Arabidopsis thaliana: one gene and its partners. Each later gene encodes a partner of the first gene's protein in a complex. Each region holds a gene or a part of one and is shown in the gene's direction. Other genes may lie near its edges.

Evidence for each region.
Region 2: WIP1 (region 1) and RANGAP1 share a complex: the UniProt entries of both Arabidopsis thaliana proteins name them as parts of the ran complex.
Region 3: WIP1 (region 1) and SUN2 share a complex: the UniProt entries of both Arabidopsis thaliana proteins name them as parts of the LINC complex.

The regions. Positions count from the first base shown.
Region 1 is NC_003075.7:13,363,054-13,366,882, forward strand, and holds the start of WIP1 (WPP domain interacting protein 1), read left to right. Parts: upstream 1-2,229; 5' UTR 2,230-2,683; coding exon 2,684-3,566; intron 3,567-3,744; coding exon 3,745-3,829. Other genes in the region: AT4G26450 (uncharacterized protein), read left to right, coding at 1-1,340, 1,421-1,574, 1,650-1,728, 1,812-1,867. UniProt on the Arabidopsis thaliana protein: Mediates and enhances the nuclear envelope docking of RANGAP proteins mediated by WIT1 and WIT2 in the undifferentiated cells of root tips.
Region 2 is NC_003074.8:23,322,699-23,326,527, forward strand, and holds the start of RANGAP1 (RAN GTPase activating protein 1), read left to right. Parts: upstream 1-1,780; 5' UTR 1,781-2,134; intron 2,135-2,387; 5' UTR 2,388-2,409; coding exon 2,410-3,829. Other genes in the region: CYCP1;1 (cyclin p1;1), read right to left, coding at 445-709, 795-1,195. UniProt on the Arabidopsis thaliana protein: GTPase activator for the nuclear Ras-related regulatory protein Ran, converting it to the putatively inactive GDP-bound state. Plays a role in spatial signaling during cell division.
Region 3 is NC_003074.8:3,358,870-3,362,469, reverse strand, and holds the start of SUN2 (SAD1/UNC-84 domain protein 2), read left to right. Parts: upstream 1-1,767; 5' UTR 1,768-1,947; coding exon 1,948-3,027; intron 3,028-3,600. Other genes in the region: ASD1 (alpha-L-arabinofuranosidase 1), read left to right, coding at 1-16, 99-217, 304-375, 465-568, 650-706, 787-976, 1,052-1,198, 1,281-1,439. UniProt on the Arabidopsis thaliana protein: Component of SUN-protein-containing multivariate complexes also called LINC complexes which link the nucleoskeleton and cytoskeleton by providing versatile outer nuclear membrane attachment sites for cytoskeletal filaments.

The DNA.
Region 1 (3,829 bases):
GACTCGGATTTTGGGAGGAGCGGATCTTGGTCAGAGAGAAGTAAAGCTTTTGAGACTGAGACTGGTGACGACTCTGTGTCTGGGCATCAAGAAGAGCAGCCGCTTGCTGAAGATATTGCTAGCTCGGTTCAGCGGTCAGCCTCTGGTGAATTTATGAGAAAATGTGAAGGAGCAGGTGATTCCGAGTCTGTGTTGGACAAGTACAATCTCCAGGATGAGGCACAGTCTAAGACAGGTTCCTCGAGTGCCGGGAAAGATATAGTACAGGATTGTGAAATCTCTAAAGTATCCGAAGGCTCTTCTAGCTTGAGTGCTGGATCAGGAGAGATGAAAGGTAGGTCTGGTGGTAATGGTGGAGAGGATGAGAACCAGACTGCTATCGAAGATGGATCTATCCATCAACGTTGTGAAGATGCATCTATTGATCAACAGTGTGGGGCTGATGAATCATTCACCAAGAGTGGTATTGATTTGGCAACGCTGTGTAAATTTGAGAAGGTGCCTACGAGGACACGCTCTTCTCTGACTGCAAAAGGCCCAAAGCTTTATTTGAGTCATAATATCAAGGATACCTCTCATAATTCTGGACTTGAAGAAGAAGATCAAACCGAAAATCGATGTGAGACTCGAGGCCAATCATCTGGAAAGGCCGATAGTACTGGTGATGAAAATGACCAAGTTGAAGATTTTGCTCTTGTTCAATATATTGAGAACAGTAAATGTCATAGGTCTAATTCTTTTCCCAGTAGCATTCTCAGGGATAACAGTGAGAAAGAATCAGGATTAGAATTGCCTAATCTGCACAGATCACATTCGGTGGGGAAAGTAGGTGAGAAAAGGCCTGGTGAAGGCAGTGACTTGGAGGAGGGATCAAAAAGACAGAGAGATTGGGTGGCAGTTTCTGAAGCTAATGAACGCTTCAACATGTTTAAAACAAGCGGAAACCAATGCGATCCGGAAGAAGAAGGAAAGACAAGCTCGTTCAACAAAAGACTGATTGACGGTGCTGCTGGAAAAAGGGTCAGCCATGAAAGTCTGGTTAATAACTCTACATACAATAGGACACACACTGGCAGAACAGGTCCAGGGTATGCTGAAGAACATCAGCTGTTTCCTGCTTCGTTTAAGATGTGTGACCTAAATCTAGGGGGAGCGTCGGATGTGAATGATGGGATAAAGGAATCTCGTCAAGCTGTTGATTTTGATCTCTCAATCAGCAGTTCTAGTAAGTCTCTCGAGTTTGGTACGAGTACTCGGATGAGCAATGGTAAAGAGATAGAAGTGATTAATTTGGATGATGATCAAGAAGTGGTAAAGTCCAGCAATGATCCAGGAAGAAAGTACGGCCAAGTCCTACTCTTAACACTTATATATACACACACCTATTACATTTTGGCTAATGGGTTTTCATATCTAACAGGCAAGAAGCTGCTCCATATATGGGCATCGATGACGTCCCAGACTACAATGAAAGACTCATGATGGTAGAGTATCTTGATTCCTTTACTCCAATAAACCAGGGAACCAGTAGTGTCCCACAGAATAACAACACAGTTAGCCTTCAAGACCGAGAGGTACCTACTCTACTTGTCAAGTTTTATGTCACATAGAATGTTTGTTGTTGCTAACAGATCCTGAAAACGTCTCAGGGAGCTATTGGAAATGACCAAGTACCAAATAATACAGACGATGATTCGATCTTCATGTCACTCGGAGAAATACCATTGAGTAAGACCAATATCAAATTCTTTCTCTTTTCTATTTTAGCTTCTTAAAGAGCTGAGATTCATTATGTCTTTGCAATTGTGCAGCATTCTTGCAAGCTTGGGACCAACCTCCAGCTCGAGGCTACGAGAAGCCTTTCTGATTCTCTTTTTTTTTGTTATGTTTCTTCAGTCTGTGTAATGAGTGTGTAGTAGCCCAATTTCGTTTGTGCTAATCTCAATCCTCTCAGATGATGTAAGAATGTGACTTGTGGTGTTTTATGGTTGTATGTACCCTTTGTAATTCTCTGTTTATTCTCACACTGTCCCCATGTTTTAGGTCAGTTCAACAATTTTCTGAAATTGTAATAACCAAAATGATAATTATTAACGGTATATATATGTCGTGTCCAATCTCACGGTCAAAAATGAAGAAGGTGATGCTGAGAGGTCAGGCGATTCCGACACGTGTTATATTCCAACCACCCACACGTAATTTTCAAAAAGGAACAAAATTGATCATGAGGGAAAAAAGAATAAACTTTTTCCCACAAAGAAACTTTCCACATTGAACGAGAGAATTATAGATCTGCGAATCCGATCATTGGATTAGGGTTTTCACTTTTCACCCTCCTTTTTCCATCTCTCTGCTGTATACCCTTCCTTTCTCCAAAAAGACCAAAACTTTGCGATTCAATTCGAAATCTGTGTTCTTCCATTGAGCTGGATTTTCATTTTTGGAATCATTTCTTCTCTTCTTTGATCCGATAGATGGTGGCATGGTAGGAAATTTTAGACCTTTATATTTCTATTTAACCGTCAAGGAACCAATGAATTTGTATAGCTTGTTGAGTTGACTTTTTGATTGTGTATGATCGAATTTGGGATCCTCATTTCGGGTTTTGGGTTATTGATCTGAGCTCCTGTTACTTCTGAAACCGATGTGAATTTGGTGGGGGATAGATTTTTTTGTGGAGTCAATGGATTTGGAGAGTGAAAGCTCTGCACTTGAGTCTGTTGATGATAATGTTTTGATTCAACAAAGTGCCAGCAACGTTTGTGATGATGGTAGGAGTTTGGATAACGGGTCTTGCTCTGATGAGAGTGTGAAACTGCTTTCGACTTCTAATTCTGTTGAACTCGGTAAACCTATGAGTTTTGATTCACCAGGTGATGGTGGTGGTGCTTATTCTCCGGTTTTGAAAGGACAAGGCTTGAGAAAATGGAGGAGGATTAGGAGAGATCTTGTTAAGGACACGTCTGCGAATATGGAGAATAGTAAAGCTCTGAAGAGAGGGTTGTCAGGTGTTGCTCATTCACATGGTAAACAGATGCAGTTTCAGTCACCGGAAGTTGAACAAGAGAGTCAGGGATCTGTTGGGTCTGTTAATATGTTGAAAAGTAGCGGTGATGGTTTTGATATACTTGGGAGTAGTGGTTACGATTCTAGGTTTGTGGCAGGGGTTGGTTTTTCAGCTGGTATGGATTTAGAGATAGATGATGATCGGAGTAGTAAGTCTTCCACGGTTGCAAGAGCTCCCAAGGTTATTAGGTATGAGAAGCCAATGATTAGTTCAGGTCAGGGAGGAAACATTCGTGTAGAGAATAGTAAGAAACATAGAGGAGAAAGTGTCGATTTCGAGAAGGAAAACTCTTATTCCAGCTTGGAATCTGACTCAAGAAAGCAGAGTGGAAGAATGATGGACTACAATGGTGAAAATGGGGAAACGTCAATGAGAAAAGATGATGCGGGAGGAGAAGGCGGAGAGTCGATAAACACGGACAATCGTTACTCAGATGAAATGGATCCATTAACAGAGGCCATCAACGGTTTCTTGGCCTTGCAAGATGCTCTTGAAAAAGGTAGCCATTCTGATTATTTTTTTGCTGCGGATTGTATCTAAACTTGCATTATTTTTACTGCTGTTACATAACTATTTCTTGTTATGAGCCTGCATTATCATGTTGGAATCAACTAATAACATCACATGAACAATGATTATGATGTTTAATGTGACTCTTTATGAAATTTCATTTGCAGAGGTTCAGCAATTCCAGGAGATCGGGAATGAACCAATGCCACAGCATCATGAACAAGTCAGCGAAGCAAATTCACCTCACCCCGA
Region 2 (3,829 bases), on another chromosome or scaffold:
AGTATAACGTTTAAGGAGTCACATGATGATCCCAGGGGCTACCACTCACGGGACTCACTATCTCCAATCGCACCACCGTCCTCTGACCCTAAGAATAGCAATGGCGGTGGTGGTTCAGGTGCTTGTGGTAATGTTGAGGCTCCTGCTACTGCTGCTTAACCACCGCCCAAGATTAACGATACTCCTTGTAATGGCAAAGCAGCAGAGCCTCCTGTCGCTAATGTGAAATGCAGCAGCAGATGGAATAGTTGCGGTTTGATGTAAAGTAGAGATCTATTTAGTAGTTTAACCAGTATCAAGGAAACTATATTATAGCAACTTCTTAAAGAATGAGTTGGTAGAAATTTTCAGATTTTCTACTACACACAATTGTCACAAACAATCAATCATGCAAAAGAATCATCACTACTAAAACACAAAATAATCCTATCTTACCCTTGCCGATCAGCGTGCTGTGGTTTGAGAGCAGAGTGAGTCGGGTGTCCTCTTCTGCCAAGTCTCTTTGTTGGCTCGGCATGCTTCTTTTATGGGCCACTCGATCTGGAAGCCGTCTCTGTTCTGCTTTTCTAACTGACAACAGTGTGTGTGAAACGTCTGAGGATCTACCTGAAGCTTGAAGTCAAGGGTAAACAACAACTCCATCTCCAATCTGTTTAACTCTCTCGTAGTCACACCTCCCACTCTTGCGTAGTATGCATTGTTGAAATACCTGCACAACACCAGAGATCAATGAATCTATGATTGAAGACTTATTTGCGTGTTGAATTTGATACCAGGTTTAGTGAGTAACATACCTATCATCGAAGACTTTAGCAGCTAACATGACAGTTGTAATGATAAGGCGGTGGACATTAAGGGGTTTGAGAAGGGCTCGGGTCTTATGGAGAAAGTGATCAATGTAGATATGCGCAATGACGAAGCAGGAGGGACTGCAGCAAGAGTACTTGAAAATGCGATCCAAGTAGTGTGCAATACTGATCTCAGGGGGAGATCTCCCGTCAAACACGGTAACAGAGTCTGGCGATCCAAGCAGAATCTTGTCATCATGATTGAGTAACAGAGATCTCTCCAGAGAAGAAGAGAGGCGTGAGAGAACAGTCGGTGGCTTTTTCAATCGTTTGCCCTCAATAATAAGTCCTAACCTGAGGTATACATCCGAATCAATGAAAGCTGGATCGGTTGCGAGAGAGTCCATTTCTCCAACGAATCTGCAATGAAGATGATGATGTGCATAAAAATGGTAACTTTGAATAGGGTTTTGAAATAGAAGACGTATGTAGAGTAAATTTCAAGCAGGTGAACTAATTCCTAATCAAGAACCTAAACCCTCTCTATATGTCTCCCTACCTACCAAGTACCAAGAATCTTGAGAGTCAAGAATTAGGAATAAAGTGGAAGAAGCTTACGAGAATAAAGTGGAAGAAGTTGGTTCGTGAACTAGAGAAGGTCCGGAGAATGGAAGAAAGCAGATCTATCTCCGGCGCTTCTCCATTGTTTTTTTTTTGCTGCTCTGAAGCTTAGAAGCTAAAAGAAGCCGCGAAGAATTGTGAAGAAGAAGGAAAGTTTCCATTATTGCCTTTTATTTTATTTTATTTAATAATTTAAGGGTTTTTGATTTTAAAATGAATAATAATAATAAATACAAAAAAGAAAGGACAGAAGGAAGGAGTGATGTGTGGTAGAGAGAGACAGTTCACCGTCGGCGAGTCCAGCTGGCGGTGGTGGGAGCCCACCGTGTCACCTTAATCATCGCTGCGCTGCCCTGTCTTTTTTCCATTATTAATTTTTAGCAAGAAGAAGACTGGGCTTTCTAAATTAGTTATTAATGGGCTTTGGGCTTTCGTGGTTAGGGTTGTGTAGGGGCTTAATCGTCATTTCGGAGATAGAATAAACCCTAATCTCCATGGATGGGCTCTCCGATGTTTGTCTTTTTGATTTTTGAAATTTGATTTTCAAAAATAAACTAAAGCATCATTGCCTCCCATTATCGTCACGCACGCAGATCAATGATTCTCTCACTCTGCTTCTCATTCACGCTTCTTCTTTGAATTCACTTTTCTATTCCTTTCTTTTTCTCCGTCCGAGAGAGTATAGAGAGACCCATTTCTTCGATCCATCCGCTGAGAAAAAAAAGGTACCGTCGTATTGTTCTCTCATGTTTCTGGGTTTCTTTTTGTTTCGAAATATATTCTTCTCGTTTGCAGTGTGATTTTGAGGGTTTCCTTGTCTAAAAAATGCAGTTTTTAATTAATGGATTTACAATAGAAATGTAGTTAGATTCTTCGACACCATCTTCGTTTTCGATTGGATCTACATGTTATGCTCTCTCTTTTTCCTTGGAATACTATGTCAGATTGAGTAATGGTTGTCCTTGTATTGAATTACAGAAGAAAACCAAGCAGTAGTAGAATGGATCATTCAGCGAAAACCACACAGAACCGTGTTTTGTCAGTGAAGATGTGGCCACCGAGTAAGAGTACCCGTCTCATGCTTGTTGAGCGGATGACCAAGAACATTACCACCCCTTCCATCTTCTCCAGGAAGTACGGTCTTTTGTCTGTTGAAGAGGCTGAGCAAGACGCCAAGCGCATTGAAGATTTGGCCTTTGCTACTGCCAACAAACACTTCCAGAACGAGCCTGATGGTGATGGCACTTCTGCTGTTCACGTCTATGCTAAAGAATCCAGCAAGCTCATGCTTGATGTCATCAAACGTGGTCCACAGGAAGAATCCGAGGTTGAGGTGAGCAAGGATGGTGATGTCTTTTTTGATATATCTGGTGGGAGCAGAGCTTTTATTGAAGAAGAGGAGGCACGCGACCTTTTGAGGCCTCTGGCTGACCCGCGTAACTCCTATACCAAAATCCGTTTTAGCAACAGGAGTTTTGGGTCTGAAGCAGCCAAATTTGCTGCGAGCGTTTTGTCTTCCATCAAGGATCAGCTGACGGAAGTGGATCTCTCGGATTTTGTTGCAGGAAGACCAGAGGCTGAAGCGCTTGAAGTCATGAATATGTTTTCATCTGCTTTAGAGGGTTCTAAGCTTAGGTATCTGAATCTCTCGGACAATGCTTTGGGAGAAAAGGGAATTAGGGCATTTGCTTCTCTCATCAATTCTCAGCATGACTTGGAGGAGCTCTATCTGATGAATGATGGCATTTCCGAGGATGCTGCACGTGCAGTTCGTGAGCTTCTCCCTTCTACTGACAAAATCAGGGTTCTTCAGTTTCATAACAACATGACAGGAGATGAAGGAGCAACTGCCATTGCAGAGATTGTCAGGGAGTGTCCATCTTTGGAAGATTTCCGGTGTTCATCTACAAGGATTGGTTCAGAAGGTGGTGTTGCACTAGCTGAAGCACTTGAACACTGTAGCCACTTGAAGAAACTTGATCTTCGTGACAACATGTTTGGAGTCGAAGGTGGAATTGCCCTGGCCAAGACTTTATCAGTCTTGACTCATTTAACCGAGATCTATATGAGTTACCTGAACTTGGAGGATGAGGGAACAGAGGCACTTTCTGAAGCTCTACTTAAGTCCGCCCCTTCTCTTGAAGTTCTAGAATTGGCTGGTAACGACATTACTGTAAAATCCACTGGAAATTTGGCAGCTTGCATCGCCTCCAAACAGTCTCTTGCAAAGCTGAATTTATCTGAGAATGAACTCAAAGACGAAGGGACTATCTTAATTGCAAAGGCAGTTGAAGGTCATGATCAGTTAGTTGAAGTTGACCTGAGCACCAACATGATCAGAAGAGCTGGGGCAAGGGCCTTGGCACAAACTGTTGTGAAGAAAAATACTTTCAAGCTTCTGAACATCAATGGAAACTTCA
Region 3 (3,600 bases), on another chromosome or scaffold:
AAAACTTACTACAGAGGTTTTGCATTTCTCTATGATCACATCTTGACTTAGATTTTTGTTGAGCATCTTTGACACTAAATGAGATTACAACTTTACAGGAAACTACATTGTGTTCTATGATGCTATCAAGAAAGCCTATCCAGATATCAAAATCATCTCCAACTGCGATGGATCCTCTCATCCACTCGACCACCCAGCTGATTACTATGACTATCACGTAAAATTTTCTATCTTGACAGAAACTGTAACCGTTGTCTTGTGTTCTCTCTTCCGCCTGAAAAAAGTGTTTCCTTTTTGTCACAGATTTACACTTCTGCTAGCAATTTGTTTTCCATGTATCATCAATTTGATCGCACTTCACGCAAAGGTCCAAAGGTGCGGTAATAGATTATAACAAAACTTAATTCCAACAAACACAAGATGAAGCTTTCAGCGTTTTACTCACTCGTGAACTTTGTTTACAGGCTTTTGTCAGTGAATATGCTGTTACTGGAAAAGATGCTGGTACAGGAAGCCTTCTTGCCTCTCTTGCAGAAGCTGCGTTTCTCATTGGTCTTGAAAAGAATAGGTTCCCTTTGAATTTCTCTTCCCAGGCTTTGATCTCAACTAAAAACATCAAATAAGTTAAACATCTTATGACTTTTTGCAGTGACATTGTTGAAATGGCAAGTTATGCTCCACTCTTTGTGAACACAAATGATAGACGGTATCTCTCACTTACTTTTCCGTTCGAATGGTTACTCAGGAAGATAAGGCAATAATCTCAAATTGTTAAATTGGTTTCAGGTGGAACCCTGATGCAATAGTCTTCAACTCCTCTCATCTATATGGAACACCTAGCTATTGGGTTCAACGGTTTTTTGCAGAGTCAAGCGGAGCAACTCTTCTCACTTCAACACTCAAGGGAAACTCTACTTCTCTTGTTGCATCTGCTATCTCTTGGAAAAACAATGGCAAAGATTACATACGCATAAAGGTAAACCGAGTGAAAGATTCAACCGGAGCTCTGATATTGACCCTAAAAAACTGTTTCAAAATCTGTTATTTGCAGGCTGTAAACTTCGGAGCTAACTCAGAAAATATGCAAGTGTTGGTAACTGGATTGGACCCGAACGTGATGAGAGTTTCGGGATCAAAGAAGACAGTACTTACCTCTACCAATGTGATGGATGAAAATTCCTTCTCACAGCCAGAGAAGGTAAAAATCAAGAGATGGAAGAAACATCATTATCATCACAAATTCTGAGTGTTCCCATGTTCTTATTGGTTTTTATTTGCAGGTTGTACCACATGAAAGCTTGCTAGAGTTGGCAGAGGAGGATATGACCGTTGTTCTCCCGCCACATTCCTTTTCTTCATTCGATTTGTTGAAGGAATCTGCAAAGATAAGAATGCCAATCTCTGATTCTTCTTCCCATCAGAAAACTACCACTGTGTGAAGAGAAACAATGACAAGGAAGTATCAACTTTCATGTCAAAAGTCTCTTTGTGGTTCAAATCTAATTACATTCCATAAATGCTTATAACGTACCCTTGTGTATATATAATAATAGTCTGGTGAATAAATTTACTTTCTTTAATCATGAGCTTATCTCGACTCTAGATATCTTGATATGCAAGAATGATGAAGCAACAGTTTCTTCTTAGCATAAAAGAAGATGACGAGGCGTGAAAGTGGGCTGGGCCATTTTATTTCCATTATTGGGCTTTTAAAAGCCCATCATAATGAATTTTGAAAAAAATGGAGGAGCATCAAAACAAATAAAAATGGCGAAACTGAAGAACACACGATTCAGATTTTCAAAATTGAATTTTGTAGTGATCTCTCTCCTATATAAACTTCCTCACTCTTCTTCCATTTCAAATCTCTCTCTCTGTAGTCAAAATTAGGGTTTATTTATTCATAAGGAAGAGCATTTCGAATTCTGTAGTTCAAAATTGAAGATCATGTCGGCGTCAACGGTGTCAATCACCGCTAGTCCTAGGACAATAAGGCGGACGCCGGTTCTCTCCGGTGAGAAGAAATCTAATTTTGATTTCCCGCCGAGCGAATCTCATGCCAATGCGGCAATTGGAGAGTCGTCTGCTGGTACGAACAAGGATCTGATTCGCGCCGAGGCTGCCGGTGAGAGATCCAACACCTACGACGTAGGTCCGGTGACAAGGAAATCAGGATCCACCGCGACGGGGACTAATACAACCACCACGCAGCGTCGGACGCGGAAGTCTCAGGGGAATAAGATAGATAGAGGGAAATGGAAGACAGTGGTTAGGGTATTCGCGAAGCAATTTGGGGCTCTTTTGTTACTTGTTGGATTGATTCAGTTGATTAGGAAATTGACTTTGAAGGATTCGTCTCTGTCTTCTTCGAATTTCCCAATTGAAACGGAAATGGTGCTTTCGGAATTGGAGAGTCGGATTTCTGCAGTTGATGGTTTGGTGAAGACTACGACGAAGATGATGCAGGTTCAAGTTGAGTTTCTTGATAAGAAGATGGATAGTGAATCAAGAGCATTGAGGCAGACGATAGATTCCACATCTTCTGTGTTACATAGTGAGTTGAAGAAGGTAGAGTCTAAGACAGAGAGGTTACAGGTTTCTGTAGATGAGTTAAATGCTAAACCTTTGGTGTCTAGAGAGGAGTTAGAGAGAGTTTACGAGGAGTTGAAGAAGGGTAAGGTCGGTGATTCTGATGTTAACATTGATAAACTGAGGGCTTATGCTCGTGACATAGTGGAGAAAGAGATAGGGAAACATGTTGCAGATGGCCTTGGTCGAGTAGATTATGCGTTAGCGTCTGGTGGAGCTTTTGTAATGGGGCATTCGGATCCGTTTCTTGTTGGAAATGGGCGTAATTGGTTTGGGACAAGCAGGAGACGGGTTCATAGCAAAGCGGTTAAGATGTTAACTCCGAGTTTCGGGGAGCCTGGACAGTGTTTTCCTCTGAAAGGAAGCAATGGATATGTTCTAGTCAGGCTAAGAGCACCAATAATTCCAGAAGCTGTTACTTTGGAACATGTCTCTAAGGTAGTACTAACATCTCAATACTAAACTTTCACAAAATGATTGATTTTTATATGTTAATTTGAGCCTTCAAGAAGGGTTCTCTGTTAAATGTTGTTGGTATTGAGATGCCCTGTACTTCGGATTGGATTGCTGGTGACAATAGGTTATCGAATAGAGGGCAAGAAACTAGTTTTGTGAATTTGAGTTCTTATAGTTTGAGGTTTAGTTTAGGCACTAGCTGTGACAATATGCATTGAGGAGGATTTTACCTATTGTTATTTTCTGCAAATCACTAGCTTTAGCAGTTCCTTTGTCTAATATCAATGCCACTGTGTTGTTGTGCTTTGTTTGGGACATCGTTGACAGAGAAAAGAACCGTATGTATGGGAAGAGCTTGTAAGTTTACAATTAGTGGAACTGTAATATTCACTGTTTACGGATATCCTTAGGAAACAGTAGCTGAAGGGAAATAGTCTCAAGAGTGTGTAATGTGATGGTCACACATTGCTTTCCATCATTGTTCATCCTTGTGATCATTTGTCTGATAAATTTCTTCTTGTCTGACCACTAAAAGGCAATACTAATCTTACGGTT